4 linked regions of the Stegostoma tigrinum genome follow. The protein of the gene in region 4 purifies or fractionates together with the protein of the main gene of each other region. This does not show direct contact. Links are inferred from orthologs where the notes say so. Each region holds a gene or a part of one and is shown on either strand. Other genes may lie near its edges. The genes, in order: sf3b6, snrpb2, snrpa and sf3a3.

Evidence for each region.
Region 1: the proteins of sf3a3 (region 4) and sf3b6 purify together in Homo sapiens (affinity purification with mass spectrometry; 3 studies listed by BioGRID and IntAct, with this or other methods). This does not show direct contact. The link is inferred for Stegostoma tigrinum from reciprocal best matches to the Homo sapiens genes SF3A3 and SF3B6.
Region 2: the proteins of sf3a3 (region 4) and snrpb2 purify together in Homo sapiens (affinity purification with mass spectrometry; 6 studies listed by BioGRID and IntAct, with this or other methods). This does not show direct contact. The link is inferred for Stegostoma tigrinum from reciprocal best matches to the Homo sapiens genes SF3A3 and SNRPB2.
Region 3: the proteins of sf3a3 (region 4) and snrpa fractionate together in Homo sapiens (co-fractionation; 4 studies listed by BioGRID and IntAct, with this or other methods). This does not show direct contact. The link is inferred for Stegostoma tigrinum from reciprocal best matches to the Homo sapiens genes SF3A3 and SNRPA.

Annotation. Positions count from the first base shown.
Region 1 is NC_081357.1:122,345,143-122,352,244, forward strand, and holds the start of sf3b6 (splicing factor 3B subunit 6), read right to left. Parts: upstream 3,015-7,102; 5' UTR 2,908-3,014; coding exon 2,878-2,907; intron 1-2,877.
Region 2 is NC_081371.1:23,725,715-23,732,797, reverse strand, and holds the start of snrpb2 (U2 small nuclear ribonucleoprotein B''), read right to left. Parts: upstream 3,027-7,083; 5' UTR 2,913-3,026; intron 2,652-2,912; exon of another isoform or gene 2,551-2,651; intron 1-2,550. UniProt on the Homo sapiens protein: Involved in pre-mRNA splicing as component of the spliceosome. Associated with sn-RNP U2, where it contributes to the binding of stem loop IV of U2 snRNA.
Region 3 is NC_081392.1:9,170,243-9,177,375, forward strand, and holds the start of snrpa (U1 small nuclear ribonucleoprotein A), read right to left. Parts: upstream 3,004-7,133; 5' UTR 2,820-3,003; exon of another isoform or gene 2,513-2,819; intron 2,471-2,512; exon of another isoform or gene 2,207-2,470; intron 1,334-2,206; 5' UTR 1,303-1,333; coding exon 1,230-1,302; intron 29-1,229; coding exon 1-28. Other genes in the region: actmap (actin maturation protease), read left to right, coding at 4,344-4,582, 6,225-6,293, 7,023-7,133. UniProt on the Homo sapiens protein: Component of the spliceosomal U1 snRNP, which is essential for recognition of the pre-mRNA 5' splice-site and the subsequent assembly of the spliceosome. U1 snRNP is the first snRNP to interact with pre-mRNA.
Region 4 is NC_081377.1:18,061,842-18,068,668, forward strand, and holds the start of sf3a3 (splicing factor 3A subunit 3), read right to left. Parts: upstream 3,005-6,827; 5' UTR 2,936-3,004; coding exon 2,840-2,935; intron 1-2,839. UniProt on the Homo sapiens protein: Component of the 17S U2 SnRNP complex of the spliceosome, a large ribonucleoprotein complex that removes introns from transcribed pre-mRNAs.

The sequences.
Region 1 (7,102 bases), on a different chromosome or scaffold from region 4:
GGGGAGGGGGAGGGGGGATTCGGGGGAGGGGGAGGGGGGATTCGGGGGGATTCGGGGGAGGGGGAGGGGGGATTCGGGGGAGGGGGAGGGGGGATTCGGGGGAGGGGGAGGGGGGATTCGGGGGAGGGGGGATTCGGGGGAGGGGGAGGGGGGGATTCGGGGGAGGGGGGATTCGGGGGGGAGGAGGGGGGATTCGGGGGGGGGAGGGGGGGATTCGGGGGGGGAGGGGGAGATTCGGGGGGGGGGAGATTCGGGGGGGGGGAGATTCGGGGGGGGAGATTCGGGGGGGGGGAGATTCGGGGGGGGGAGATTCGGGGGGGGGGGGATTCGGGGGGGGGAGATTCGGGGGGGGAGATTCGGGGGGGGGAGATTCGGGGGGGGGGAGATTCGGGGGGGGGGAGATTCGGGGGGGGGAGATTCGGGGGGGGGGAGATTCGGGGGGGGGAGATTCGGGGGGGGGAGATTCGGGGGGGGGAGATTCGGGGGGGGGAGATTCGGGGGGGGGAGATTCGGGGGGGGAGGGGGGGATTCAGGGGGGGGAGGGGGGAGGGGAGGATTCGGGGGGGGGGAGGGAGGATTCGGGGGGGGGGGAGGGGGGATTCGGGGGGGGGAGGGGGATTCGGGGGGGGGAGGGGGGATGGGAGGATTCGGGGGGGGGAGGGAGGATTTGGGGGGGAGGGAGGATTCGGGGGGGGGGGATTCGGGGGGGAGGGGGGATTCGGGGGGGAGGGGGGATGGGAGGATTCGGGGGGGAGGGGGGGGAGGATTCGGGGGGGAGGGGGGGGAGGATTCAGGGGGGGAGGGGAAGATTCGGGGGGGAGGGGACGATTCGGGGGGGGGAGGGGACGATTCGGGGGGGGGAGGGGACGATTCGGGGGGGGAGGGGGGATTCGGGGGGGGAGGGGGGATTCGGGGGGGGGAGGGGAGGATTCGGGGGGAGGAGGATTCGGGGGGGGAGGGAGGATTCGGGGGGGGGAGGGGGGGGGAGAAAGAGGATTCGGGGGGGGAGAGAGGATTCGGGGGGGGAGAGGATTCGGGGGGGGAGGATTCGGGGGGGGGAGGATTCGGGGGGGGGAGGATTCGGGGGGGGAGGATTCGGGGGGGGAGGATTCGGGGGGGGCAGGATTCGGGGGGGGCAGGATTCGGGGGGGGCAGGATTCGGGGGGGGCAGGATTCGGGGGGGGGAGGATTCGGGGGGGGGAGGATTCGGGGGGGGGAGGATTCGGGGGGGGGAGGATTCGGGGGGGGGAGGATTCGGGGGGGGGAGGATTCGGGGGGGGGAGGATTCGGGGGGGGGAGGATTCGGGGGGGGGAGGATTCGGGGGGGGGAGGATTCGGGGGGGGAGGATTCGGGGGGGGGAGGATTCGGGGGGGGAGGAGGGGAGCGGAGGATTCGGGGGGGGAGCGGAGTGTGGGGGAGCGGAGTGTGGGGGTGGGGAGTGTGGGGGTGGGGAGTGTGGGGGTGGGGAGTGTGGGGGTGGGGAGTGTGGGGGTGGGGAGTGTGGGGGTGGGGAGTGTGGGGGTGGGGAGTGTGGGGGTGGGGAGTGTGGGGGTGGGGAGTGTGGGGGTGGGGCGTGCGGCTCGTGAGGGACAATCCTATTCTGCCAAGGGGACGCCCTTGGGGGGGGGATATTCGGGGGGGGGGAGCAGATTCGGGGGGGGGGGAGATTCGGGGGGGGGGAGATTCGGGGGGGGGAGATTCGGGGGGGGGAAGATTCGGGGGGGGGAAGATTCGGGGGGGGGGAGATTCGGGGGGGGGGAGATTCGGGGGGGGGGAGATTCGGGGGGGGGGGAGATTCGGGGGGGGGGGAGATTCGGGGGGGGGGAGATTCGGGGGGGGGAGATTCGGGGGGGGGAGATTCGGGGGGGGGGGGAGATTCGGGGGGGGGGAGATTCGGGGGGGGGAGATTCGGGGGGGGAGATTCGGGGGGGGGAGATTCGGGGGGGGGAGGGGGGGATTCAGGGGGGGGGGAGGGGGGATGGGAGGATTCGGGGGGGGAGGGGGGATTCGGGGGGGGAGGGGGGATTCGGGGGGGGAGGGGGGATTCGGGGGGGGAGGGGGGATTCGGGGGGGGAGGGGGGATTCGGGGGGGGGAGGGGGGATGGGAGGATTCGGGGGGGGAGGGAGGATTCGGGGGGGGGGAGGGAGGATTCGGGGGGGGGGAGGGAGGATTCGGGGGGGGGGAGGGAGGATTCGGGGGGGGGGAGGGAGGATTCGGGGGGGGGGAAGGGAGGATTCGGGGGGGGGGAGGGAGGATTCGGGGGGGGGAGGGAGGATTCGGGGGGGGGGAGGGAGGATTCGGGGGGGGGGAGGGGGGATTCGGGGGGGGGAGGGGACGATTCGGGGGGGGGGAGGGAGGATTCGGGGGGGGAGGGAGGATTCGGGGGGGGAGGGAGGATTCGGGGGGGGAAGGATTCGGCGGGGGGGGGGAGGATTCGGGGGGGGGGAGAGGATTCGGGGGGGGAGAGGATTCGGGGGGGGGAGAGGATTCGGGGGGGGGGAGGATTGGGGGGGGGGAAAGGATTCGGGGGGGGAGAGGATTCGGGGGGGGGGAGGATTCGGGGGGGGGAGGATTCGGGGGGGGGAGGAGGGGAGCGGAGGATTCGGGGGGGAGCGGAGGATTCGTGTGGGGGTGGGGAGTGTGGGGGTGGGGAGTGTGGGGGTGGGGAGTGTGGGGGTGGGGAGTGTGGGGGTGGGGCGTGCGGCTCGTGAGGGACAATCCTATTCTGCCAAGGGGACGCCTCACTGGAGGTGAGCGTGTAGCCCGGCTTCGGGGCTGAACGTACGACGGACGGAAGATCGAATGGAGCCGGCAGTCGGTTGGGGGAAAGGCCGGGGGCGTGGCGCGGTCAACGACTAAAGAGAAGCGGACTCACGTTCGCCCTTTTCGCCGCTTGCATCGCCATCGCGACCGGTCTGTAGGAACAAGAGGCCGAGCACACAGGGCCGATCAGAGCGCGCAGGAAACCTCACCGCGGCGACGCAACAGCGTACTGGCGTCACAGACCCCTTGCGCCCTGGCGTCATACGCACCCGTCTGCCACGTGCTCCGGGGAGTTGCCCAGTTCCAAGGGGTCACCAGGAGGTCACAGAGGTTCAGGTTTCCAGGTCAATGTAGCTGCAGGGAGTCCCAGGAGTGCCCTTTCCCAGTGGGATTACCCGCGGTGCAGCATGTCCCTGCAACACTCCCTTTGGCAATGAGTGTTCCGAGGCACTGTTTGCTCCTGGGGTATTAGCCATTCCTGCGTGCAGGGTTATCCTGGGCACTGGGGATATTCCTGGGGCAATCGCTGAACACTGACTGTATCAGCCACAGCTGGCATACCTGCAGTTGGGGCCCAAGACCAGGGATCGAAGGCACGCACCAAGTTCAAATTGGTGGCAAGTCTCCACAGCGTGGTGATTTTACAAAGCTTCACAAGGGCTCTTAGCGTCTTTCTCTCAGAAGAGAATCAGTGACAATTCTTTGAATCCGTTCCAATAGCTGAAGTTCCCGATTCCTGGAACCACTCATAATATTGCTTCTGCATTCTTTTCCAGACAGGCACGTTCTTCCTATGGTGGGGTATCCACGTCAATATGCAATGCTTCCTGCTCACTCTACTGAATTCGCTGCCATTTTCAAGTTCTACACCGACCTCCTCAGAGTACAACTCTTTCAAGTTTTGTGTTATTTGCAAACTTTAAAATTGTTCACTTAACACCAAGATTTACATCACTAATATTTGTTTTTAAAAAAAAGCCAGGGACACAATATTGACTACAGGGAATTCCACTGCAGACCTTCTGCCAGTTTGAAAATTAGCCATTGACTATTACTTTTTGTTTCCTACCACTTGGCTGATTTTATATCCATATTGCAACTGACCTTTTTATTCCTATGACCTATATTTTCCTCAAAAGTCTGTTGTCTGGCACGGTATGATATGCCTTCTGAAAGTCCAATACACCACAATGACAGTATTGCCCTCATTGAGCTTTTCTGTTACCTTTTCAAAAATCACCAATGTTAGTCAACCATGTTTTCCCTTCAGAAATCTATACTTACTTTACCTAATCAAACCATCTTTTTTCCATGTGACCACTAATTCTATCGAAAATAATAGTTTTGGAAGCTTCTCAACTCCTAAGTCATGGATAAACTGACTGGTCTGTAATGCTGGGCTTATCCTTACAACCATTCTTGAATAAGATCCTAGTGTTTGCAAATCTCTAATTTTCTGTTACCTCTCCCAAATCTAAGGAAGCCTGAAAGATTATACAATTTACACTCTTATATCCTTCAATATCTTTGAATGCATCTCATCTAGTGTTGGTACCTTGTCAACTCCAAGTACCAACCATCTATCCAACACTTCTTCCTTAGCAATATTGAACCCTTTTGGTGATTGATCTTTTTCCTTTTTCACTGGCCTGGGGAGCATCTTCCAGTTTTTCCCGTCAACCACTCGTTCTATTCCAACCTGTCCAGTTCAATTCTTGCCCCACTAAAGTTGGCTCTCTGCCAATTAATTTTTCTTACTCTGGTTGACTAATGGCATTCTTCACAATCATTTATAACCTTGTGATAAAATGATCACGGTCTCCTAGATAAAAACCAAAAGAACTGCGGATACTGTAAATCAGGAACAAAAACAAAGTTGCTGGAAAAGCTCAGCAGGTCTGGCAGCATCTGTGGGGGAGAAAACAGAGTTACATTTCGGGTCCAGTGACCCTTCTTCAGAACTGTCTCCTAGATGTCTGTCACTGACATTGGATCGACTTGGCCCACCCAAGTTTCAAGAACCAGATCCAACATTGCATCATTCCTTGTTGGATTGGACACATTCTGGTGTTGGGAATACTTGCCCTTCCTGCCCCTTAACACGACCAAATCCCGGCCTAAATTTGTACAACTGAAGTCCCTGATCATAACTGCTCTGTAATGTTGGCATCTCTCTACAATTTCCATGCATATTTGTTCTTTCTTTAGTTGGATATAAACTACACTAGCAGTGTATCCTTTTTGTTCGATGTAGTTAAATGGATACTGTCCTTGAACCCATCAAGAGTCCACTTTTTCCAGCACTACAAAGTTTCTTCTTAACCAAATCTGTCTCCCTCCCTTTTCTATGTTTTCCAAACACCCTGTACTCTGGAAGATTTACCAGCGAATCTTGCCCTGCACTTGAGCTAGGTCTCTGTTACAGCCAAGAGAATCAAATTTCCACTTGGAAATCTATGCCAGTAACTGCCCAATTTACGATAATCCTTACATTTACCTCTATGTGCAGTAACTGATTTTGCTGCCAGTGTTACAGACTTTCCTTGATGACCGATAGCATAAGCCACAAACCTGTGTGCTCCCACATGCAGCCCGCAGGGCACCATCCTGCACTATGTGCTACCTCCACTGTTGCACCCCGTACTACTGAATTGGAGTAAGAGATTGGTCAGGGCAGGGATGGTGGGGTCGTGGGGAGGTGGGATGGGAGGAGTAGGAGAAGTCTGAAAGTTAGACTGGAGGTTAGTGTGGAAGTAAGGGGAGAGGAGCGTCAGAGCTGCTGTCTCTGCTGTTTGTAGTGTGCACAAGTAATTAAATGTTTCTGTATTATGTATTCTGAAGAGTTAGCAGAAAAATAATACCAGACTCAATCCGTTAGGAGCACTGTGTCCAGTTCTGGCCACCCTGTCATAGGAAGGATTTATTAAACTGGAGAAGGTTCAGAAATGATTTACCAGGATGTGGCCAGGAATGGAAGGTTAAAGTTATAAGGAGAGGCTGGATAGGCTGAAACTTCTTTCACTGGAGCGTAGGAGGTGGTGGGGTGACCTTATCGAGGTTTATAAGATCGTAAGGAGCATAGATAAGGTGAATGACAAGGGTCTTTTCCCTAGGGTGGGGGAGTTCAAGGCTATGGGGCATATTTTTAAGTGAGAGGGGCAAGATTTAAAAAGGACAAGAGAGGCAATTATTTTACACAGAGAAAGTTTTGTGCGTGGAATGAATTTTGAGAAGAAGTGGTAGTTGTGGGTACAGTTATAATGTTTCAAAGACATTTGGATAAGTACTTGAATAAGAACGGGCTGGAGGGATATGGGCCAATCGCAGGCAAGTGGGACTAGTTTTTTTGGGATTATTGTCAGCATGGACTTGTTGGGTCAAATGGTTTGTTTCCATGCTGTATGACTTTATGACACTCCACAGATGCTGTCAGATCTGCCGAGTCTCTCTAGCACTTTCTGTTTTATCATGGGTTGAGGTACATGTTGAGTTCATATGTAGTGGGGGAACAGTTAATGGCATTCATTCACAATAAGACACAACATAATATTATCCAGAGTTCACACTTGTGTTATTTTCATATTTCCCTTGATTGGTGACTGCACTGTTTTAGGTGCATTCAGGTATACTTACTGCCGTTTATGGACTGCAGCTTACCGATTTTAATGTTCATAAACATGCAATGTGGAGACGTGGGCTATTAAGATTATGGATCACCACTAGATATGTTAAACTTTTAAATACACCATTTTTTGAAGAGTGGTTATAGCTAAAACGACTGAGAATATAACTTCTATGCAATGTAAGGCTGTGATATTTCTGGTAAGCCTGTGTGGGTTATCCTTCGTATTGAAGGAAACCCACAAATGTCACAACTGATGAGTGTCAAGAAAGTTTCAAAGAGAAGGACTTCAAAAGGACAAAAAGGACTACAAATTGAACTATATTCCAGCCTGTAAACATGACAGGAGAGAGCAGTATGGGTGAGAAACATATTTGGATTTTCCTCTTTCATGAATATACAAACAATTAAATACCGATTCCAACACTAGTTTATGTGTTCCAGTGTGTGAAGGTGTGTTCAGTGACGACCACAGCTGTGAAAACCTTGAGTCACCCTTGAATTTAAGGTAAAATGAAAATAAGTCTCCTTTGCTAGAAAATAGAAAGCAGGCAAAGAAATGGAACAGGAAAACGGATGCTGAGCTGCTGAAAAACCAAGTATCTCAAAATCACCAGTTCGTCTACCAATATCAGTGCTTCTTGTATTGCAGAAAATAGGAGCAGGAGTTGGCCATTCAGCCCACTTCTCCATTTTATATGATTATGGCTGATCA
Region 2 (7,083 bases), on a different chromosome or scaffold from region 4:
ACACAGTTCTGTAAAAGGGGAATCATGTTTGATAAATTTGGTAGCGTTCTTTGGGGATATAACAAGCAGAGTTGAGAAGGGGAACCAAAAGATATAATATGTTTGGATTTCCAGAAAGTATACGATAAGGTGCCCCATAACAGGTTAATTACAGAATCACACAGCATGGAAACAGATTCTTCAGTCTAACTTGCCCATGCCAACCAGATATCTTAAATTAATCTAGTCCCATTTGCCAGAATTTGGCCCATATCCCTCTAAACCTTTCCTATTCACATACCCATCCAAATGCCTTTTAAATGCTGTAATTGTACCAGCCTCCACCCCTTCCTCTAGCAGCTCTTTCCACGTAGGCACCACCCCTTGTTTGAAAAAGTTGCCCCTTAGGTCCCTTTTAAATCTTCCCCCTCCAACTTTAAACCCATGCCCTCTAGTTTTGGACTCCTCCACCCTTGCCTATTCACTCTAGCCATCATTTTATGAATCTCTAAGGACACCCCTCAGTCTCCAATGCTCCAGAAAAAATAGCCCCAGCCTATTCTGCTTCTCCCTCAAACTCTCCAACCCTGGCAACATACTTGTAAATCTTTTCTGAGTCCTTTCAAGGATCACAACATCCTTCCTATAGCAGGGAGACCAGAATTGAATGCAATATTCTACAAGTGGCCAAACCTATATCCTGCACAGCTGTAACACAACCTCCCAGCTGCTATATTCAATGCACCGACCAATAAAGGCAAGCATACCAAACACCTTCTTCAATATCCTATCTGCCTGCCATTCCACTTTCAAGGAATCATGAACCTGCACTCCAAGGTCGCTTTATTCGACAACACTCCCCAGGATCTTACCGTTACGTATATAAGTCTTACCCTAATTTGCCTTTCCAAAATGCAGGGGCTCACATTTGTCTAAATTAAACTCCATCTCCATGACACACAGGGCCATCTGATCAAGGTCCCATTGTACTGTGAGGTAACCTTCTTGGCTGTCCACTTCACCACCAATTTAGGAGTCAATTATCAGTCTGAAAAGCAATTCTTCACCATCACCCTCTGTCTTTCTGTCTTCCACCTTTGAAGCAGTTCTGCATCCAAATGGCTAGTTCTCCCTGTATTCTATGCGATCTAACCTCACTACCAGTCTGCCATGCGGAACCTTGTTGAATCCATTCTGAAGTCCATACAAATCACGTCCAACGCTTTGCCCTCAATTCACTATGTTACTTTTTGAAAGTAGTTCTCAGTACTGGAGGCAATGAATTAAAATGAGAAATGTTGGTTTACATGCAGAAGACAGAGAGAGCCAGGATTAAGGGGACTTTTTCAGGTTGTAAAAGATGCAACTAGTGGAGAGCTGCAGAGTCTCAAATATTATCCATCAAGCTATCAATATTGATGGCTTGGCAGGGTCAAAGTGTAATATATCCAAATTTGCTGATAACACAAATATAGGTAGCAGTGCATATAGTGAAGGCAAAGAATCTGCAAGGGAACAGAGAATGAGAGAGTGGACAAAACCTTGGCAGACAAATTTAATGTAACAAATTATCAGGTCAAAAGGCAGACTATTATTTAAAATGGAGATAGACTCCACAAGACAGCAACATAGGATCTGAAAGCTTTTGCAAATGAAATGCAATAATATAGCACGCAGCTTCGACAAATAATTAAGGCGACAAACAATTTTTGACTCTATTGTTCAGGGTCAGAAGTTAAAAACAGGGAAATTATTACAGCTGGGTACAGGGTGAGGCTGCACATGGAGTACTGTCTTTAGTTTTGGTCCATGTATTCAGGAAAGAATATACTGGCACTGCACGTAGTTCAAAACAGATTTACTAGGCTGATTCCTGGGATCTGGCCTTAACTTATCAAGCAAAGGCTTAGGCCTTTATAGAGTTTAGAAGAACAAGGGCTGATCTAATTGAAACATCTTAGATGGTGGGTGGGCTTGACAAGGTAAGTGTTCAAAAGATTTTACCATTGCTGGGAGAATCACAAACCATTGTCAGGTGTTCTCTGATTCCACAATGGATTTTTAAAGAGATGACTATCCCCCTTTCAGGAGGGTTGTGAATGTCTAGAAATCTCCATCCGAGATAACTGAGCAGGCTAGATGAAAGGGTGTAGGTCAACCCACTTACTACCCCAATAGTAACCCAACTAGTATTTATTTCGGGACTTTTTCCCTTTCTTGTTTACATGCTTCCACACTTTCACTCTTGTTCTCTCAACCTCTCTACTGCATGGAAAAGCAACGTTACGATATCCAAAAACAGAAGAAACATATTTTTTATTTAAATGTAGCTCTGACCTCGCCCATCCATCCCCGAAATTTTGGTCCGCAAACAATTATTTCAAGATGCTCTTAGCCTCCACATGTTAAAACACAAACTCCTCCAAAACTTGGCAACACGTATCCCATCGTAAACTCGGTTCCGCTCACCTCTCACTGTGACCGCGTTACTACGGTGGCTTCTAGACTACTCAATCTAAAATTCCTGTTTAATTCCTTTCTTTAGTTTACCTCTAAGCTCCTACAACTCACCGCACTAATGTTTTCCGACCTTCTCACATACTACATTGCATTCACAGGCTTTCAGCTCACCCCGCCAGGCCCTTCCTCATTCTTCCTTTCGGTTTCAGTTTATTTCTGAACATCTCTGGAAAATGCTACGGGATTACTGACGGCGGGAAAGAGGAGTTGCTGCTTCTAGGTTACTACAAACCAAATACGTAAGGTGGACTACAACCGGCATAGTGTTTCCTCAAACCCGACTGCAACTACACGCCAAACACACTTGGAACACTGGAGACAGCAACCGAGACCAGTTTTCGGTCGGAGAAGCAGACTATTTTATTAAAGTGAGCAGTCCCATTCGCCGACCCCACCGAAGCACAACTCCATACCTACTCCTCACTATCACGCTCACGAGGGTTTTTACTTCTCGATCTTTCTCCGACTCGCGCGACCGACCATCCGCGTCGCGCGTTGATGACCTCTTCAACGCGCGACCAACCATCTGCGTCGCGCGTTGATGACCTCATCAAACCGCCCCGTGCTGTTTTGAGATAATGAAATGTGAGGCTGGATGAACACAGCAGGCCAAGCAGCATCTCAGGAGCACAAAAGCTGACGTTTCGGGCCTAGACTCCATCTCTGATGAAGGGTCTAGGCCCGAAACGTCAGCTTTTATGCTCCTGAGATGCTGCTTGGCCTGCTGTGTTCATCCAGCCTCACATTTTATTATCTTGGAATCTCCAGCATCTGCAGTTCCCATTATCTCTCTCTCTCTCTCTCCCATCTCAATTAGTCCCGTTTATCTCTATTTGGCTCATATCACTATAAACTTTTCCTTTTCATATACCCACCCAAATGTATCTCAAATGTCGTAACTAAACCTGCATCTACCATTTCCTCTGGCAATTCATATGAGTAAGCTAACTGGTGATATAAAAAAGATTGAATCACCAGTATGCTTAAATTCACCCAGCCTCAACGACCCAATATGAAAGTCTACAACGCGTCCTCACCCAAGGAAAGGATTAAAATCTGATGTCCCATCCCCAGTTCACTGTGGAGTGCACCCCCAAAAAAACTACCCCATGACTTACACTCCTTATCTTTCACGTTGCCCCCTTCTGAGCCTTGTTAAATTAGCTTGTCAAATTATCTTGCGACTTTAATATCATGGAATAGACCAATTACTGCCTCAAATAGGGTGTAACTTACAATGCTGATCCTATGCAGAATAAAGAGTGCAGTAGCAATGCAAAGGCGATCGCCACTCATCAGAAGATCCAGCTGTTAGCAAAGGTTGCCAGACCTGGAGAGCATTTCTAGCACTTTGTTTTAGTTTTATATTTCCAACATTAACAGTATTTTGGTTACATAGTGAGCTATGGTTCTCACAGTCCTGAAGATAAAATTCAGTCCTAAGTAATTTTGCAGCTCTCTGAATATCTTCCATCTGAGCGTTCAGTGGTGTCTATTGGTTCAGAGATAGTAGGAACTGCAGATGCTGGAGAATCTGAGATAACAAGGTGTAGAGCTGGATGAACACACAGGCCAAGCAGCATCAGAGGACCAGGAAGGCTGACATTTCCAGAAGGGTCGAGGCCCACAACATCAGCCTTCCTGCTCCTCTGATGCTGCTTGGTCTGCCATGTTCATCCAGCTCAACACCTTGTTATCTCCACTATATTGGTCATTTGTTACATGTTGGTTAATTAAGGATTGACATGTACATAATTGCAAATTTTGATTAGTAAACAATAAATAAATAATAGATGCAAACAGAAAGCAGGTCTGACAGCATCTGTAGAGAGAAAATAGAGTTAGTGTTTTGGGTCCAGTGACCCTTCAGAACCGATCATAGCTAGGAAAAGGTTGGCATTTATGAAGAAGATGAAGTGGGGGAGAAGGGGAAGAGTAAACAACAGGTGGAGTTGGAAACCAAAGACAGACAAAGGAATGGGTAAAGGTCAAACTGGGAGATTGAATAGCTGCTAATGGGAACTATTAGTAGCTGTCAATGAGTTATGCGTTGTCCTTTCCCCAGTTCCCTGGCTGGCAGGGACCTCAGATAGGTCCAGCCCAGCTCCTGCGCTTCAGCTCTCATGCCCTTTCTTCCCACCCACAACAACAGAGTCCGCATTGTCCTCTCCTAACATCCCACGAGAATCCACATCTACAGGATCATAAACAACTGTTCCTGCAACCTCCAGCGAGATGCCACCAGTAGATACATATTCCCTTCCCTGTTACCTCTGGAATACCTTTGTCCACTCCTCCTTCATTCCAAAAATGTACCCGTAGCCCTACGGCACCATCCCCTGCAATTACAGAAGGTGTAGCACCTGCCCATTGACTTACTCCCTCCTCACCATTCAAGGCCCAAACCCACCTTCCAGGTGAACCAGCGCTCACACAATCTAGTCTACTGCATTTGCTGCTCACAATGTAGTCTCCTCCACATTGGGGAAAGAAAGAGCTGACTGAGTGACCACTTTGTTGAACACCTGCATTCTATCCACAAAAAAAACTGAGTTTCCCATTGCCTGCCACTTTAACACTCCAGCCTGCTCCCTAGCCAACATCTCCGTCTCTGACTTGTTGCAGTGCTTCAGCAAAGCTCAGTGCAAGATGGAAGAAAGGCACCTCATTTTCTGCTTGGGAACTCTGCAGCCTTCTGGATTCAATACAGTTCAACAATTTTCGGCCTTGAGCACCTTCTCCTATGTCCTTACCCCAACCCCCACACATCAGGCTTTCCCATCACAGGCTGCTACCACACACAACCCATTGTTAGCTACTAATAGTCACCATTAGCAGCTATTCATTCTTCTAGATTGACCTTTACTCATTCTTTCATCTATCCAACTGTTTCTCTGTCTTTGAGCCCCATCTTCACTTATCATTTCTACTACCCACTACCCCACAACATACAAACAAACCTTTACCTAGCTACCATCATTTCTGAAGAAGGGTCACTGGACCCAAAATGTTAACTCTGCTTTCTCTCCACAGATGCTGCCAGACCTTTTGAGATTTTCCAGCAATTTCTGTTTTTGTTTCTGATCTCCAGCATCGGCAGTTCTTCCGTTTTTTTTGTTAAATGAATAATAGACACTAACTTTCGGAAATGTCATGTCAGTGTTTATAAGGCCATCAAATGGAGCAGCATAAGTAAGCCATTTAGCCCATGACTTTGGTCCGTCACTCGATGAGACCATGGCTAATACAATAATCTTTCATCTTTAAACCCAGATCTGATAACTGTTATGTTCACACAATGGAAGTATGTTTTCTTTAATCTTTTGTTGTTAAAATAGTCAGCCAGAACCAGAGTGTGAATTTTATCCGATCATTGTAAACAGTTTTTTATTTACACTTATATAGTACCTATAAAATAGTAAAATATCACAAGTTGCTTCATACTGAACTATCTATGGGATTAAATGAGGAAAAGATTTTAAGAAGGTTTTAAGGAGAATCTTAAAGAATAAAGAGAGTTGAAGAGGTACAGAGGTTTAGGGCACAATGTTAGTCAAACTCATTGGTAGCACATTCACCATTGAATTAGAAGATTGTTGTCTCAAGTTCCACTCCAGACTTTGAGCAAAAAAACATACTGACATTCAGCGCAGTACTGCTGAACTGGGGGAGTGCTTAAGTGTCAGTAGTGTTGTGTCGGATGAGATCTTAAACACAGGCTGTATTTGCCCTCATATGTGGATGTAAAAAAACTCAAGGCACAATTTCATAGAAGAGTCAATGAAGTTTAGAACATAGAACAGCACAGCACAGAACAGGCCCTTCAGCCCACGATGTTGTGCCGACCATTGATCCTCATGTATGCACCCTCAAATTTCTGTGACCATATGCATGTCCGGTAGAGGAAAAGATAAGTGGAGAAGAATCCCAGACAGAGAAAACACCAGTTGGACAGAAAAAGGAATTGGTAAAGGCTAGTGTGGGAGAATGACTAACTGCTAATGGGGACCATTAGTAGCTGACAATGAAATGGTTGGGGGTGGGGTGGTGTGCACTTAGGCACAAACATTATTGAACTTTATGATAGAGTCCAGAAGGCCACAGGATCGCCAAAGAAAATGTGGTAGTGTTTCAGCAATTTCCTTCAATTTTCCAACAAATCATACAGTTCAAAATCTTCCTTTCCTTCAACTCCAGCACCCCGCCAACCCCAACCCCAACCTCTGTCATGCATTTACTACCCCTTCTGACCTTCCGCTCTCTGAATGTTTTGTACTCAGTAAAGGTCTTAGTTTTATTCCCCTGCACTCCCACCTTCATGCATTACTGATACAATATGACATTGAACTCTTTGTCCATTGCCTATGCCTCTATGCCTATTTCTTTGGACAAGAGTCCTCTTCTGAGGTATTCTGCAAATATTTCTCCCTCAATCAGTATGACAAAGGCAGATGTATTAGTCATCACATTGGCATTTTTGGGAATTTGCTGTTTACAAATTGGCTACTGCATTTTCTCCAACAGCAGCTGCAGTTTAAAAATACTTAATCAGTTGTAAACAATTTGGGTTATCTGGTGTTTACG
Region 3 (7,133 bases), on a different chromosome or scaffold from region 4:
AAAATGGCATACAGCGATTTCTTCAACTCTAGAAAGAGAAGAAACATAACACAATCAACTTCAGTTTCAAATCAGTCACAAGTACAATTGCGACCAGACTTGAACGTGAACTTGAAACCACAATTCAAGTTCATGAATGTCCAGTAAATGCGGTTGATTCATAATGTCATATTGTGCAAAGCCCAGTCAACCTCTTACAAAAACAATACAGAAGATGCAAACAAAGCTTTGCAAGAATGACACCAGAACCATGGTTATAGTTACAAAACAAAGTTATGCTTCATTTATACAGGGCATTGGAGACACCATATTTGGAGAGTGGGTTTTGTGGGTAAGCAAAGTGGAGTTATCAGATCACCCATGATCTTATTGAAAGAATGAACAGACTTTAGGGGTTGAGTGGTTAACTCACACTAAATGATATGTTTGTGTTAGAGATGACTGGCAGACTGGGGCTCTTTTTTCTACAAAGAGGCTAGAGCCAGGGAGGGGTCATCTTTAGCACTATGGTCTTTAACATTTGGGACATATTCAACAAAATAGACAACTGCCTGATTTGAAGGGACTCAACGGCAACTGCTGCAAATCCAGGTACAGTTACAACACAGAGTCATAGAGATGTACAGCATGGCAGCAGATCCTTTGGTCCAACTCGTCCGCGCTGACTAGATACCCTAAATTAATCTAGACCCATTTCCCTGTAAACCGTTCTTGTTCACATACCCTTCAGGATGCCTTTTAAATGTATAAATCAAAAGGCATTTTGACAGGTACATGAATGGGAAAGGTTTAGAGGGATATTGGCCAAAAGGAGTTAGTTGGAACTAGTTCAGTTTGGGAAATTTGGGTCACATGGACGAGTTGGATCAAAGGGCCTGTTTCCATGCTGTACGACTCTATAACAGTCCTTGCATATGGCTGTTGAACACTCCGAAACAACGGGTCATACATGGTACTTATTAATAATTCCAATAAAGAAACTGGGAGAAAGTTGTTTTAAGCTATGCTTAGTCAGAACTTCCCACCGCAGGGATAGTTGAGAGAAATTTCCTTTAAGAAACTAAATAAACATGAGGGGATGAGGAGCAGTTTGTTAAAATTCACTCTCAGTACACACTTTGCTAACTGTGCCAGCATTTATTGTCTTAGACCCCACTAATGCTCTCGAAGTCCCCAACCCAAACATACCCGAATACACTGCTGAACCAGAACTATCCCTGAATACTTGCCATCTTTCTTGATCTTCTCATTCAAATTGTTGATGTAGATGGTGTGGTTTGGACGGGCCTCTTGGGTAGTCATGGCTCTACTCTTGCGCTAACTAAAATTAAAACTGAGGGGGGAAATGAGCACAAGTGAAAGTCAGTCTCATAGATGTCACTCTTCAAAAGAAATAAACCTCTCTCTAACTTCATTATGGCAAATCTCAGAGTTGAACTCAACTCAGAAATCATGAGCTCAAAATCAACAATGGCAAGCTGTGACATTCAATAAATCTTAAAAGGTTTGATAGTCCAGACCAAGGATGATCAGCAGAATTCAACCTGTTCACTGTAGTTCAGCACCACACTCCTTAATTGTTTTAATGGCTGCCTGAACTTCCAAAGCCTCAATGCAGCAGCAACTTCCAGAATTGGAAGTCAATGTCTTGATCAGCAAAACAACACTAATCACTGTGGTTGTATACACACTTTGAGAGGAAATGCTGCTCAGCATGCTAGCATTACATGTGGTTACTGTGCAGAACCAAAGCTGACAAAAGGTGGCTGCCAAACGTATCCATTCTCATCCGCTAACACCGCTCCCAGATTCAAAGGACTGCAGCCCAATGTGTGGCTATAAGTGGTAGAAATGTAAGTCACATCCCTAAATTGCTCTAAAGCAACTCAAGCACACCCCATCCTAGATCCCAAAGTTAAGAGTACGTATTGTCCTTCCTTTGCCCGTTACCCAGAGACAGGATTACTAAACAACCCCTTCTCTCACATCCTTCATCCAAGCTCACCCGCTCTGAGAAGCAAGACAGCCCCTTCTCTCCCCCACCTCTGAGGGAAAGGTCAGCCTACCCCCCTCTCCTTCTGAGAGCTCACACAGCCCCCTCTGTGCACGAACATAAAAAACAGGCGGAGGCCATTCGGCCCTTCAAGCCTGCTGCACAATTCTCTACAACCACATCTGATCATCAAACTCTACAACCTGACCCTACCTTTCCCTCCCCATGTCCTTTGATCCCTTTAGCCCAAATCACCAAATCCAACTCCTTCTTGAAACGTAGTATTTTGGCCTGTTTTCTGTACCACAGAAAACCACAGTAGTAGCAGTCTGCGGGTGGAGGAATTTCTCATCATCTCAGTCTCCTCTGGCATACGCTGTATCCTTAGACGCCCACCCATCAACTCAACCTCTCTCACATTCCTTTAGCCACTCAGCCCTCCCTTTTGCCTTACCACCCTTCACCCTTTACCCCTGGCCTACTCTCTCCCTCTCAGCCAACCCTCCGCCCTCTCTTTACCTCCATCGGCCCTGAACCGGAAGCTACCGCCCGTCGGCGGAAGCTTTAACCCGTGGTTCCGCCGCAGGCTGCTCCGTACGAACCTGGTGAGACCGCGGCTCTAAAGAACCGACCGTGCGACGCGATGCGAGCTCCCGCACACAGAGACGATCAGGCTAACTGCGGGCGGCCGCCGGCTCTAAACGCTGGGGGATGGCAGCGGATGGTCGCGGGCCCTAACCGCCAGCACCGCGCGCCACGACGGAAGTCCAACCCCCTCACCCCGCGGCCAGCTCCCATTGGCCGGCCCTGGTGCGGGGCCGCTCACCGATTTGTCCGCGGTCCCGTCAATCAGACGAAGGCGGGAGGGTCGGTGTCCCCGCGGGACCCGGATGGTTTCCCCAGCTAATAAAATGTGAGGCTGGATGAACACAGCAGGCCAAGCAGCATCTCAGGAGCACAAAAGCTGACGTTTCGGGCTCCGGCGGGGAGTGAGAAAGGACAGAAACAGAAACAGAGATCGAGAAGGAGCGGCTAAGAGGGCGGGAGAGGGGAATCAGTGACTCGCTAACGGTCTGGGTCCATTCAACAGCACAGACCCGATCTGAGAGAACTGATTGGACTAGACCGGTGTCAATCAAATTGGCCATTCCACCGTGGCCAATCGCGGGATGTAGAGTGGGATTCAGGGACGGAATGTTCTAGAACGTGTTCAGTAATTCCCGACCCTCCGCTTTCCTAAGTACCCCACACACACTTGCATCCATCCTATCCCCCAATTACTTTATTCCCCTATCCGACACTCCCCAACACCAAACACCTCAAATAACCCCAACCCACCTCAATCCCCTCCCTCTCCCCAAAAACCATTCCACCCCATCACCAATCGCCCTCCAACCTCCCCAGCGATCCAACTCCAATCTCACCCCAAAAGCCACCTTACCAACTATTCCCATCCCTCAGTTACATCCCAAACTACTCCAACCATTCCACCCCTCCCCAAACTGCACAGTCCAATCCCACAATAAAAATCACACCTCACCCCAAAGTGCCCCGTTACTCTCCACAATACCCGAATCACTCCACTCTACCTAACTATACAACCCCAATCATCCCACCCTGCCTCCAACACCTCAAAATACCCCTGCCTCACCCCTTCACAACTACTCCATCCCTCAAATGATTTCATTTTCCCTGACCATCCCTAATCGACCCCTTCCCTAACTACTGTTTCTCCATCCAGCCATCCCATTCCCTAATTACTTCATCCCCAAATTACCCCATGTCCCATACCAGTTCTACCTCAACTGACCCAGCTTCCAACCACTGTTCGCCCACTCTTCTGTGTTGATTTCTTTTCTGCAAATCCAGTCCTTGTTACAACTAGCACTATTCCCTGCTATCTAACCCTTTATAAATCTGTGCTGGCTCTATGCTCAGAAATTTTGAATTTGTGGATTCAGGCAATTTATTGACAGCAGATAGTAACGGGTCTGTGATTTCCTGATGGACCTCACATCATTTTTCTTAAATTGTTGAATGTCATGCAGTTATTCCATGCCCCCCTTCTCCCTCAACATGGAGTCTTCATTACTCCCACTGAGACTACTTTCCCAAATCCTCCACCACTCACCCCATCTCCTGCCCCTAACTCCCCCATTAAATATAAAAGACAAATATTTTCTGGAACAATAAGTGATAAATGATAATGATTTTTTTTCCTCCAAGGCAAATATTACAACAGTATCTCTGACCCTTGGTGTACTAGTTACTGAGGCAACTTACTCGTAAAAATTGTTGTGGGATGCTCCAATTTATCAAGTCAAAGCCAAACGTTAAATAGTGGGCTGCCATGTCCCACCTCCATCATGTTGAAATGGCACAAGGAGAGCAAAATCTCATCAGTGACACATCTGATGGTACAGACTATTTGTCAGTCCCTCCTCCTCCTCCCCCCCTCCCTCCACCCTTTCTGTCCCCTCCTTCTGAACCATCACAAAATAAATTATACCAGATTTTTGCTCAAGACCGATTACCAGTAACTGGAGACTGGGAGGAGGTGAAGTTGCTGGTCCAGAGCAGGCCTAACAGGTATATAAAACTAAAAATTATGAGCCATGTTTGTCACAGTTGTTTAAATAAGAGCAAGATTCTGGAGATGCTGGAAACCTGAAACACAAGAAGTGCTGGAGAAACCTAGCAGTTCTGGCAGCATATGGGTGGCATAGTGGCCTCACAGCGACAGGGACCTGGATTCGATTCTAGCATTGGGTGACTGTCTGGAGTTTGCATATTCTTCCCCATGTCTGCATGGGTTTCCAGTTTCCTCCCACTGGCCAAAGACATGCAGTTTAGATGGATTGGCCATGCTAAATTGCCCATAGTGTCCAGACATGGATTAGCTATGGGAAATGGAGGGATAGGCGAGGTCTGGGTGGGATACTCTTTAAATGGTTTTTAAGGTCTTAGCGAAAATTTGTAGCTCGGGTTGTGGATGCAGTTGTTCATTAGCGCACTGAGCTGGTTGTTCTGTGGTGTGCAGACATTCTGTTACCCTTCTAGGCAACATCATCAATGTGATTTCTAATTGAAGCAATGGTGTTCTGCTTCCTTCCGCATGTTAATGAACAACTGCATCTTTGGAGGGTTGATGTGGCTTCAGTTGGCCGAATGGCCTGCATCCATATTGTAGGGATTCTGTAATCTGTAGAGAGACACAATTAACATTTCAAGTGTAGTACAACTTCCTAAAAACATCTCTGAGAAGTCAAACACAGTCGAATAACTCTGCGGTCAAAACTCAGGAAAGAGATCTAGGATTGTCGGTACAGCTATGTGTTGGAGTTTGGTCTTCAGGTACGTCCTAGGGGCTGAGAGACCTTGGAAAAAGCCACGTGCCATTAATATTTCAATACAGTTGTGAGCAAGGTTATGGAAACCCACAAGTAACACTTTGTACAACTGACAAATGTTAGAGCTCAGGAAAAATAAATCAAGGGCGGTACTAACTTGATAAAGCTAGCTGTCCACGAAAAAAGATGCATTTGCACCTGTGACGATGCTAGAGTGTGGTTTCCAGAATCCAGAGGAGTGTCACTCCTGGAACAGGTGGTGAGCTACCAGAAACTGAGCAATCATTGAGGCAATGCATGATGGAGTAGTTTTTGATGTACTTTAAAGGCCAGTTCTTCAACAGTGAAGTCTTAAAATGAGACTTAGTAACCCACAATGTCACTGACATCCTGAGAGCGGGGAGGGGTGGGTAGGTAGTTGCTGAGTAATCCATGGGATCTGACTCAATCACTTTTGATGTTTACATTTACACTTTTGTCTGAGTAAGTTTTATTTGTAATAAACTAGGTATTAATTGTTAACTTAAGAAACTGGCTGAATTATTTCTAGCACTAAGTCAGATACAATGTAAAGCCTATTGAATTGGCCATATCACCACACAGTTTAAAATTCATTATGACCAGTGGAGGAGTGGGACTAAAGGGAAATTGATGCCCCGCTCCAATCTTGGTTGTAACACTCTGTATACTGTGCGAAGTTAATGGCTTGGCCAAGTTACTGCCCTCTTATAGACTAAGCAATGCATCCTTTATGTGTTATTATAGGTTAACAGTGCATCCTCATGTACTATTGCAGTTTAATATCAGAGCCCAAGTGTGCTATCAAGTGATAGATTCTTTTCCAATGGCTGAACATTTTTCTGATTTTCTCATATTTCCAGCTTCAACAAAGATTTGCAATGGCTCCTTATTAATAAATATGTACCCTCGCTGATCCAGGATGGTCCACAGTAAGTATCTAATTCTGGTTTCTCTACATTGGTGCATACTGGCAGAAATGGGGGCACAGAGGCTCAGCGGTTAGCACTGCTGCCACACAGTGCCTGGGACACAGGTTCAATTCTATCCTAAGGCAACTGGAACTTGCACATCCTCCCCGTGTCTACATGGTTTCCCGCCAGGTACTCCACTTTCCTTCCACAGTCCCGAGATGTGCAGGTTAGGTGGATTGGCCATGCTAAATTTCCCATTGTGTTCAGGGATGTGCAGGCTAGGTGGGTTAACAACAGGAAATGCAGGATTACAGAGATAGGGTAGAGGGAATGGGCCTGGGTGGAATGCTCTTCAGAGGGTCTATGTGGACTTGTTGGGCTGAATAGCCTGTTTCCACACTGTAGGGATTCTATGAAATAGAAAATGTTGGCAATGTCTGGCATCACCTCTGGTGGAACAGATTTAATGTTTCTGTTCCATGACCTTTCATCAGAACACGGGTAGTTTTTCTGTTTTTCTCTCACCTATAAATGCTGCCTTCCATAATCTGCCAAGTGTGGGTGCTTTTTCCCTGTGTCCTAGCCAATATTCAACCTTCAACTAATTCCCAAAGCAGATTGACTGCCATTCATCTCATGCCTGCATGTGAGATTGCATTGTGTGCTGTGCTGTGGACCTTTCTTCTGCCTATAAACTGCAATTGCTTTCTCAGTCACCACTGCTCCTTGTATTTTATTGTGATTCAGGTGTGGACTGGTGGCTCTATGGATGGCCGGACATTTGCTGAACATGTGTGAGGTGCAGGGTCTGCAGGAGATAGTGGACTGTGCGAAGGCCAGAGGGTATACTGTTCAGGG
Region 4 (6,827 bases):
ATTCCAAAAATGAAAACATGGACAATATGGACATGAATTCAGGAATGACACTGAGTCCAATGAATCAACCAAAGATTTTAAACACCTGAACAAAACAAAGAATGGCTAAAAATCTGGAAAAAAATGCTGGAAAAACTCAGTTAGCCTTGCAGCAATGGTCGACAGAGAAATAGTCACAGCTTTGAGTCCAGTGTCTGTTCTTCATAACTTCTCTCCATAAACATAAATTGCTGGAAAAGCTCAGCAGATCTGGCAGCACTTACGAAGAAACAAAAAACTAGAGTTCGCGTTTCAGTTCTGGTGACCCTTCCAATTCCGAGGAAGGGTCACCAGACCCTAAACATTAACTCTGACTTTTATCTTCACAGATGCTGCCAAACCTGCTGAGCTTTACCAGCAACTTCTGTTTTTGTTCCTGATTTACAGGTCCACAGTTCTTTCAGTTCTCTGCACAGATGCCGCAAGACCTGCCGAGTTCCTCCAGCAATTCCTGTTTATTTCTTTGAAGCACTTGGCCTGGATTCCCCGCACTACAACATCCATTTCAGGCCAGGTTGGAGAGATTTCTGACCAGCACGAGATAAGGAGTTTATCGAGTATGGCAGGGAAATGGACTGTCAGATAACGATCTCACAGAGTGATGGAGCAAATTACTGCAGATGTTGGAGTCTGTACTAAAAACAAGTGCTGGGGATCAAGGAGTCATCTGGACATGAAATGTTAGCATGTGCGCAATTCCACGGATAACAAAGTGTAGAGCTGGACGAACACAGCAGGCCAAGCAGCATCTTAGGAGCACAAAAGCTGACATTTCAGGCCTAGACCCTTCATCAGAAATGGGAGAGGGGGAGAGGGTTCTGAAATAAATAGGGAGAGAGGGGGAGGTGGATCGAAGTTGGACAGAGGAGAAGATAGGTGGAGAGGAGACTGACAAGTTAAAGAGGCGGGGATGGAGCCAGTAGAGGTGGGGAGGTGATAGGTCAGTCTGAGGAGGACAGACAGGTCAAGGGGGCGGGATGAGGTTAGTAGGAAGGAAATGGAGGTGGGGCTTGAGGTGGGAGGCGGGGGATAGGTGGGAGGAAGAACAGGTTAGGGAGGCGGGGATGAACTGGGCTGGTTTTGGGATGCAGTAGGGGTTAGTTGCAGTTAGTTTTTTGTGAATCCACATTGATAGCATTGGGCTGCAAGGTTCCCAAGAGTTGCTGTTCCTGCAACCTTCAGGTGGCATCGATGTGGGACTGCAGGAGGCCCAGGATGGACATGTCGTCTAAGGAACGGGAGGGGGAGGTGAAATAGTTCATGACTGGGAGGTGCAGTTGTTTATTGCTAACCGAGTGGAGGTATTCTGCAAATTGGTCCTCAAGTCTCCGCCTGGTTTCCCCGATGTGGCAGAGGCCACACCGGGTCCACTGGATACAATATAGCACATTGGCAGATGTGCAGGTGAACATCTGCTTGATGTGGAAAGTCTTCTTGGGACCTGGGATGGGGGTGAGGGAGGAGGGATGGGGGCAGGCGTAGCACTTCCTGTGGTTGCAGGGAAAAGTGCTGGGTGTGGTGGGGTTGGACGGGAGTGTGGAGCGGACAAGGGAGTCACAGAGAGAGTGATCCCTCTGGAAAGTAGACAAGGGTAGGGAGAGAAAAATGAATTTGGTGGTGAGGTGGTCTTTGGCAGATGGCAGAAGTGTCGGAGGTTGATGCGTTGTATCTGGAGGTTGGAGGGATGGTACATGAGGACAAGGGGGATTCTCTTTTGGTGATTATTGCGGGGACGGGGTGTGAGGGATGAGTTGTGGGAAGTGAGGGATGAGTTGTATGAAATGCGGGACACATGGTTGAGGGCATTCTTGACCACTACAGGGGTTTGCAGTCCTTGAAAAATTAGGACATCTGAGATGTACAGGTGTGGAATGCCTCATCCTGGGAGCAGATGTGGAGGAGGCAAAGGAATTGAGAATGGCTTTGGCATTTTTGCAGGAAGGTGGGTGGGAGGGGGTGTATTCTACGTAGCTGTGGGAGTATGTGGGCTTGAAACAGATCTTGGTTTTGAGGTGGTTGCCTGAGATGGAGACAGAGGAGTCAGAAAGGAGAGAGAGAGGTGTTAGAGATGATCCAGGTGAACCTAAGGTTGGGCTGGAAGATGTTGAAGTGGATGAACTGTTCGAGCTCCTCGTGGGAGCAGGAGGCGGTGCCGATATGGTCATCAGTTTAACGGAGGAAGGGATTAGGTTTAGGGCCAGTGTAGTTACGGAAGAGGGATTGTTACACGTAACGTACAAAGAGGCAGGCATAGCTTGGGCCCATGCAGGTACCCATGGCCATCCCCTTTGTCTGCAGGAAGTGGGAGGAATTGAAAGAGTTGTTGAAGGTTAGGATGAGTTCGGATAAGCGGATGAGGGTGTCAGTGGAGGGGGACTGGTCGGATCTGCGGGACAGGAAGAAGCCGAGGGCCTTTCGGCCATCTGTACGGGAATGGAGGTGTATAGGGACTGGACGTCCACGGTGAAAATGAGATGTGGGGGACCGGGGAACTGGAAGTTCGGGAGGAGGTGGAGGGGCGTGGGTGGATGCTGCCTGACCCACTGTAATCGCCAGCTTTTGTGTTCATTGAGTGATGGGTGGATTCGAGGGGCTGAATGGCCTTATTCCACCGATACATTTCACGGTCTAACAGTCTGAGATGCCCTTTTTAAAAACTATGAGCTTTTCTGTGTACGACCCCGGGCCCCCGGGGGGTGGAGGGGCAGGGGTTTCCTACAGCGAGGCTGAGGGGCCCGGCCTCCCGGGGGAGGAGAGGAAGCAGCCGAAAACCTGAACACAACCGCCCTCCCCCGCTCACCGTGGACTTCTTCACCATCATCTCCTTCACCATCACATCCATCAGCCGCTCCTTCTCCTCATGGTAACGGCGCTGCTGCTCCAGAATGGTCTCCATTGCGGCGGGACACGACGACCGTGCTGAAACTGACGGACCCGCTCCCGGATTGGACAGACCGCCGGACGTGACGTGACTTGCCTTCCGGAATTCGGGGTGTTCACGTTCCTGCCTCCGCCGTCAGCGACCGCTGGAGAAACGTTCCCCCCCCCCCCAAAAGAGAGGCAAAACAACCGTGAAAACGCTTCATTTCTGCCAATATATTTTACTGTTGCGTTCATTTGTTTGTGTTTTTACGTCGATTTGTTTCCCTTGTTGGAAATGTATCCCACCATTCCCGTGATTTCTGTTTCTTGTTCAGCAAATAAAATGAGTTGCTGTGGGAAACCCATCTGGGTCTATCAGCTTTGTCCAAAGTGACAGCAGTTCCCAACTCAGTGAGATTCGCACAACATGTTTCACAACTAAGTTACACAGGAGTGTTCAAGGAAACATGTTTCTACTTCATGTTGATGTTTCTGCGAGTTTTATCCTGGTTTGCTCACAGCACAGTCCACGGAGGCTGGAGTGTTGACTTCATGAAATATCTGCATTAACTTGGTCAATAGTCGGAACATTCTTTGTTGCAATCAGGTTCGTTCACAACTCCTGCCTCCATTGCAGTACATTAGTGACTGTGACTATGCTTTCTGCTCTCACTGTTCAGAGCTCACCCAAGACTTTGTCCCACGTAGAGTTGTAGAGATATATAGCACAGAAACAAACAATGCCAGCCAGATATCCTAAATTAATCTCATGCCATTTGCCACTATTTGGCCCGTATTTCTCTAAACACTTCCTATTCAAATACCGTCCAGATGCCTTTGAACTGTTGTAATTGTACCTGCCTCCACCATGTCCTCTGGCAGCTCATTCCATTCATGCAACACCGATGGTAAAGCTACCCCTCAGATCTTTGTTTAAATCTTTGCCCTCTCACTTTAAAAACTATGCCCGCTACTTTTGCATGACTCCCTCCCCCTGCCCCAGGAAACAACCTTGGCTATTCACCCTATCCAGGCCCTGCATGATTTTATAAACCTCTATATGGTCACCCCTTAGTCTCCACCACTCCAGGGAAAAGAGTCCAGCCCCTGCTTATTCAACCTCTCTCTGTAACTCAAAACCCCCTGTCCATGCAAAATCCTTGTAAATATTTTTTACACCCTCTCATGTTTAACAAAATCATGCTGCATAAACAGGTGAGCGGAATTGTAAGCAGTATTCCAAAAGTGGTTTCACCAATGTCCTGTACAGCTGCTGGATGACACCCCAACTCATACACTAAATGCTCTGACCAATGAAAGCAAGCATACAAAATGCTTTCCTCACTACCCTGTCCACCTGCAACTCCACTTTCAAGGAACAATGCACCGATACCCCGAGGTCTCTTTGTTTGGCAACACTCTACAGCGTCCTACCATTAACTGTATATGCCATGTCCCAGTTTTGCATATCGAGGGTCTGACCTTCTCAAAGTAGCACTATTCCACAGTACAGAGTACACTATAGCTTTTTTTTTGTTTATCCAATGTGTACATGTACCTTCCCTGCTCAGGTGCGTCGGTGGTGGGGGACTCAAAGTTTGGACCAGCTGTGACAGCAGCTAACCACCTCCACACACCGTTATGGCCTTGTCAGCACCCACACCACTCCAGCTCTGGTGGACTATGTAACCACCAGACCCGCTCCTCTACCAATGTACCATACGGCAAATTTACCCATCTATTAGTCTGCTGTAGTGTGTGTACTACACACACACACACACACACACACACACACACACACACACACACACACAGAGGTCAGTTGAATTGCTTCATAAGTGATAATGTGTTTTCCTATTTTGGATGGACCAACACTCAGAGCCAGTCACTCTTGACAAGTGAACTATCATTGGTCAATTTATCACTAACATGACACACCCAGGCAATGAATTGGCTGTTGGTTAAAGCTCTGCTGTTTAACTTCTAGTCGCAGTCAAAATAATGCAAGACCATCTGCAGTAAATCTTAAAAACAAACCCTGACCCAACAAAGATTAAAATGATATGAATCCCCTCTCACATCCATTGCAAAACACTAACCCAACCCCTCAATGAAATTCAAAACACCATCAATCACATCACAACCTACCAGAATCCTAGCCAATCACTGTTCTCTTAGCTTTTATGGTATGTTTAAAGATGTTTGAATTTGATTGGGTGATGTTACATTGGATGTGATATCAACATATGGTAATGCTGGAAGATGATGGCAATTGCAGGTTCTTTCCCTGCAGACAAGGGTGTGAATTGCGATGTTTTGGTATTGCATAGATTCCAGGCCAAGGCATGTTGTGCGCCTTCAAGCATCACATCATTCAAATACATGATGTCCCAGTACCTACCAGTTACTTCTGTGTCATGGAGTCAGGGTTGTATGTTCAGCCAATTTGTCATCTGTATAACATATGGGCTAATATCAGAAAGTACAGAACCTGTGCAGTTTCTATGTTTATAATATTACAGCTATGTAAATAATAAATATTGTGAATAAACTTCAATATATCTGTCCCAATAAGAACCCAACCTTTGTGGTAACATAATCTGAGCTAAATTACGGGGCAGCTGTCAGGTCCTATCATAATGGCACTGGTGTTTGACCCAGGAAACAACAACAATGAAACCAAGTTGTATAAAATTATGCGTTTCAGTTCAAAATTATTTAAAAAGCTCGCAGGGTTTTTTTTGCAGCTCCCCAAATCATGCTGCCCAAGGCAAGCATCCAGTTTACCCTGTGGCCGTCCCAACCCCACTCCTTAGCCAGCTTTTTGGCAGCAATAGTTCCAAAGTTTCATTGCACTTTGAGAGAAGAATTGCTTCCCAATCTGCCTATTTTTAATTTTTAAGGGATGTCAGAATTTTATTCCACCAGTTACTTTAATTTTTGCTTTGTGTCTGTGTCAATGATTTCTTCTGTCATTGTACCTTAACATCAAATTTAAGATGCACTTCAACATAACTCAAAATCTGTGTGTAATGTTAATTTTAATTTGCATGATTTTAATATTAAGGATGAATATAATTTCCTTCAGGTTTGGAAAGTATGTCTAAATAAGGAAATACAGGAGTCAGAGATAATAAGAACTGCCAATGTCATAGGCAACACAATGTGGAGCTGGAGGAACACAGCAGGACGGGCAGAATCAGAGGAGTAGGAAAGCTGATGTTACGGGTCAGGACACTTCTTCAGAAAAGCCTATGTCAGCCTCCCTGCTCCTCTGATGCTACCCGGCCTGATGTGTTCCTCCAGCTCCACACTGTATTAGTACAGGAGGTAGTTGTTTTTATATTTTCTAACCAAACCTGGCCAAAGATATTATTAGACAACTCTAGAGCAGGTGTGACTTGAACCTAGGCCTCCTAGCTCAAAGGTAGGGATGCTACAAGTACATTACAAGAAGCGTTCAGGTGTCAGCTTTTGCCTGCATAGTCTGGTATTAACAGGTGACACCCTCATAAAGAGACCAATTGGAAAAGCGAGTGCTTCCAGTTTTTTTGTGGTGGAAGCAGAAAGTGCTGGAAGACCTCAGCACTTCCAGAAATTTCTATCAAAGAATTATAAGTTCATATAAATTCTTCATTTGAACTTTCAGTGAGTCCAACACTTGGGGCTCGTTGCTTCAACAGTGCTTCTTATCCCATCCAGTGTTTGGGTTAATCATTCAATGACCACTAGATGGCACAAAAGGTGCCTTATGGATGGTGAGTACTGAGCTCAGCTTCGGTTTTACCTTCACAAATACTTGAGCTGGAGAACTGCTGCCAGAGGATGTTAGGCCAGTCTCTTGGGTCCAAGTCCAGTAATCATTTCCACCATCATAAGAGTTCTTAAATTTCTTACTAGAAAAAGTTCTAGGCTACAGTCTTGAT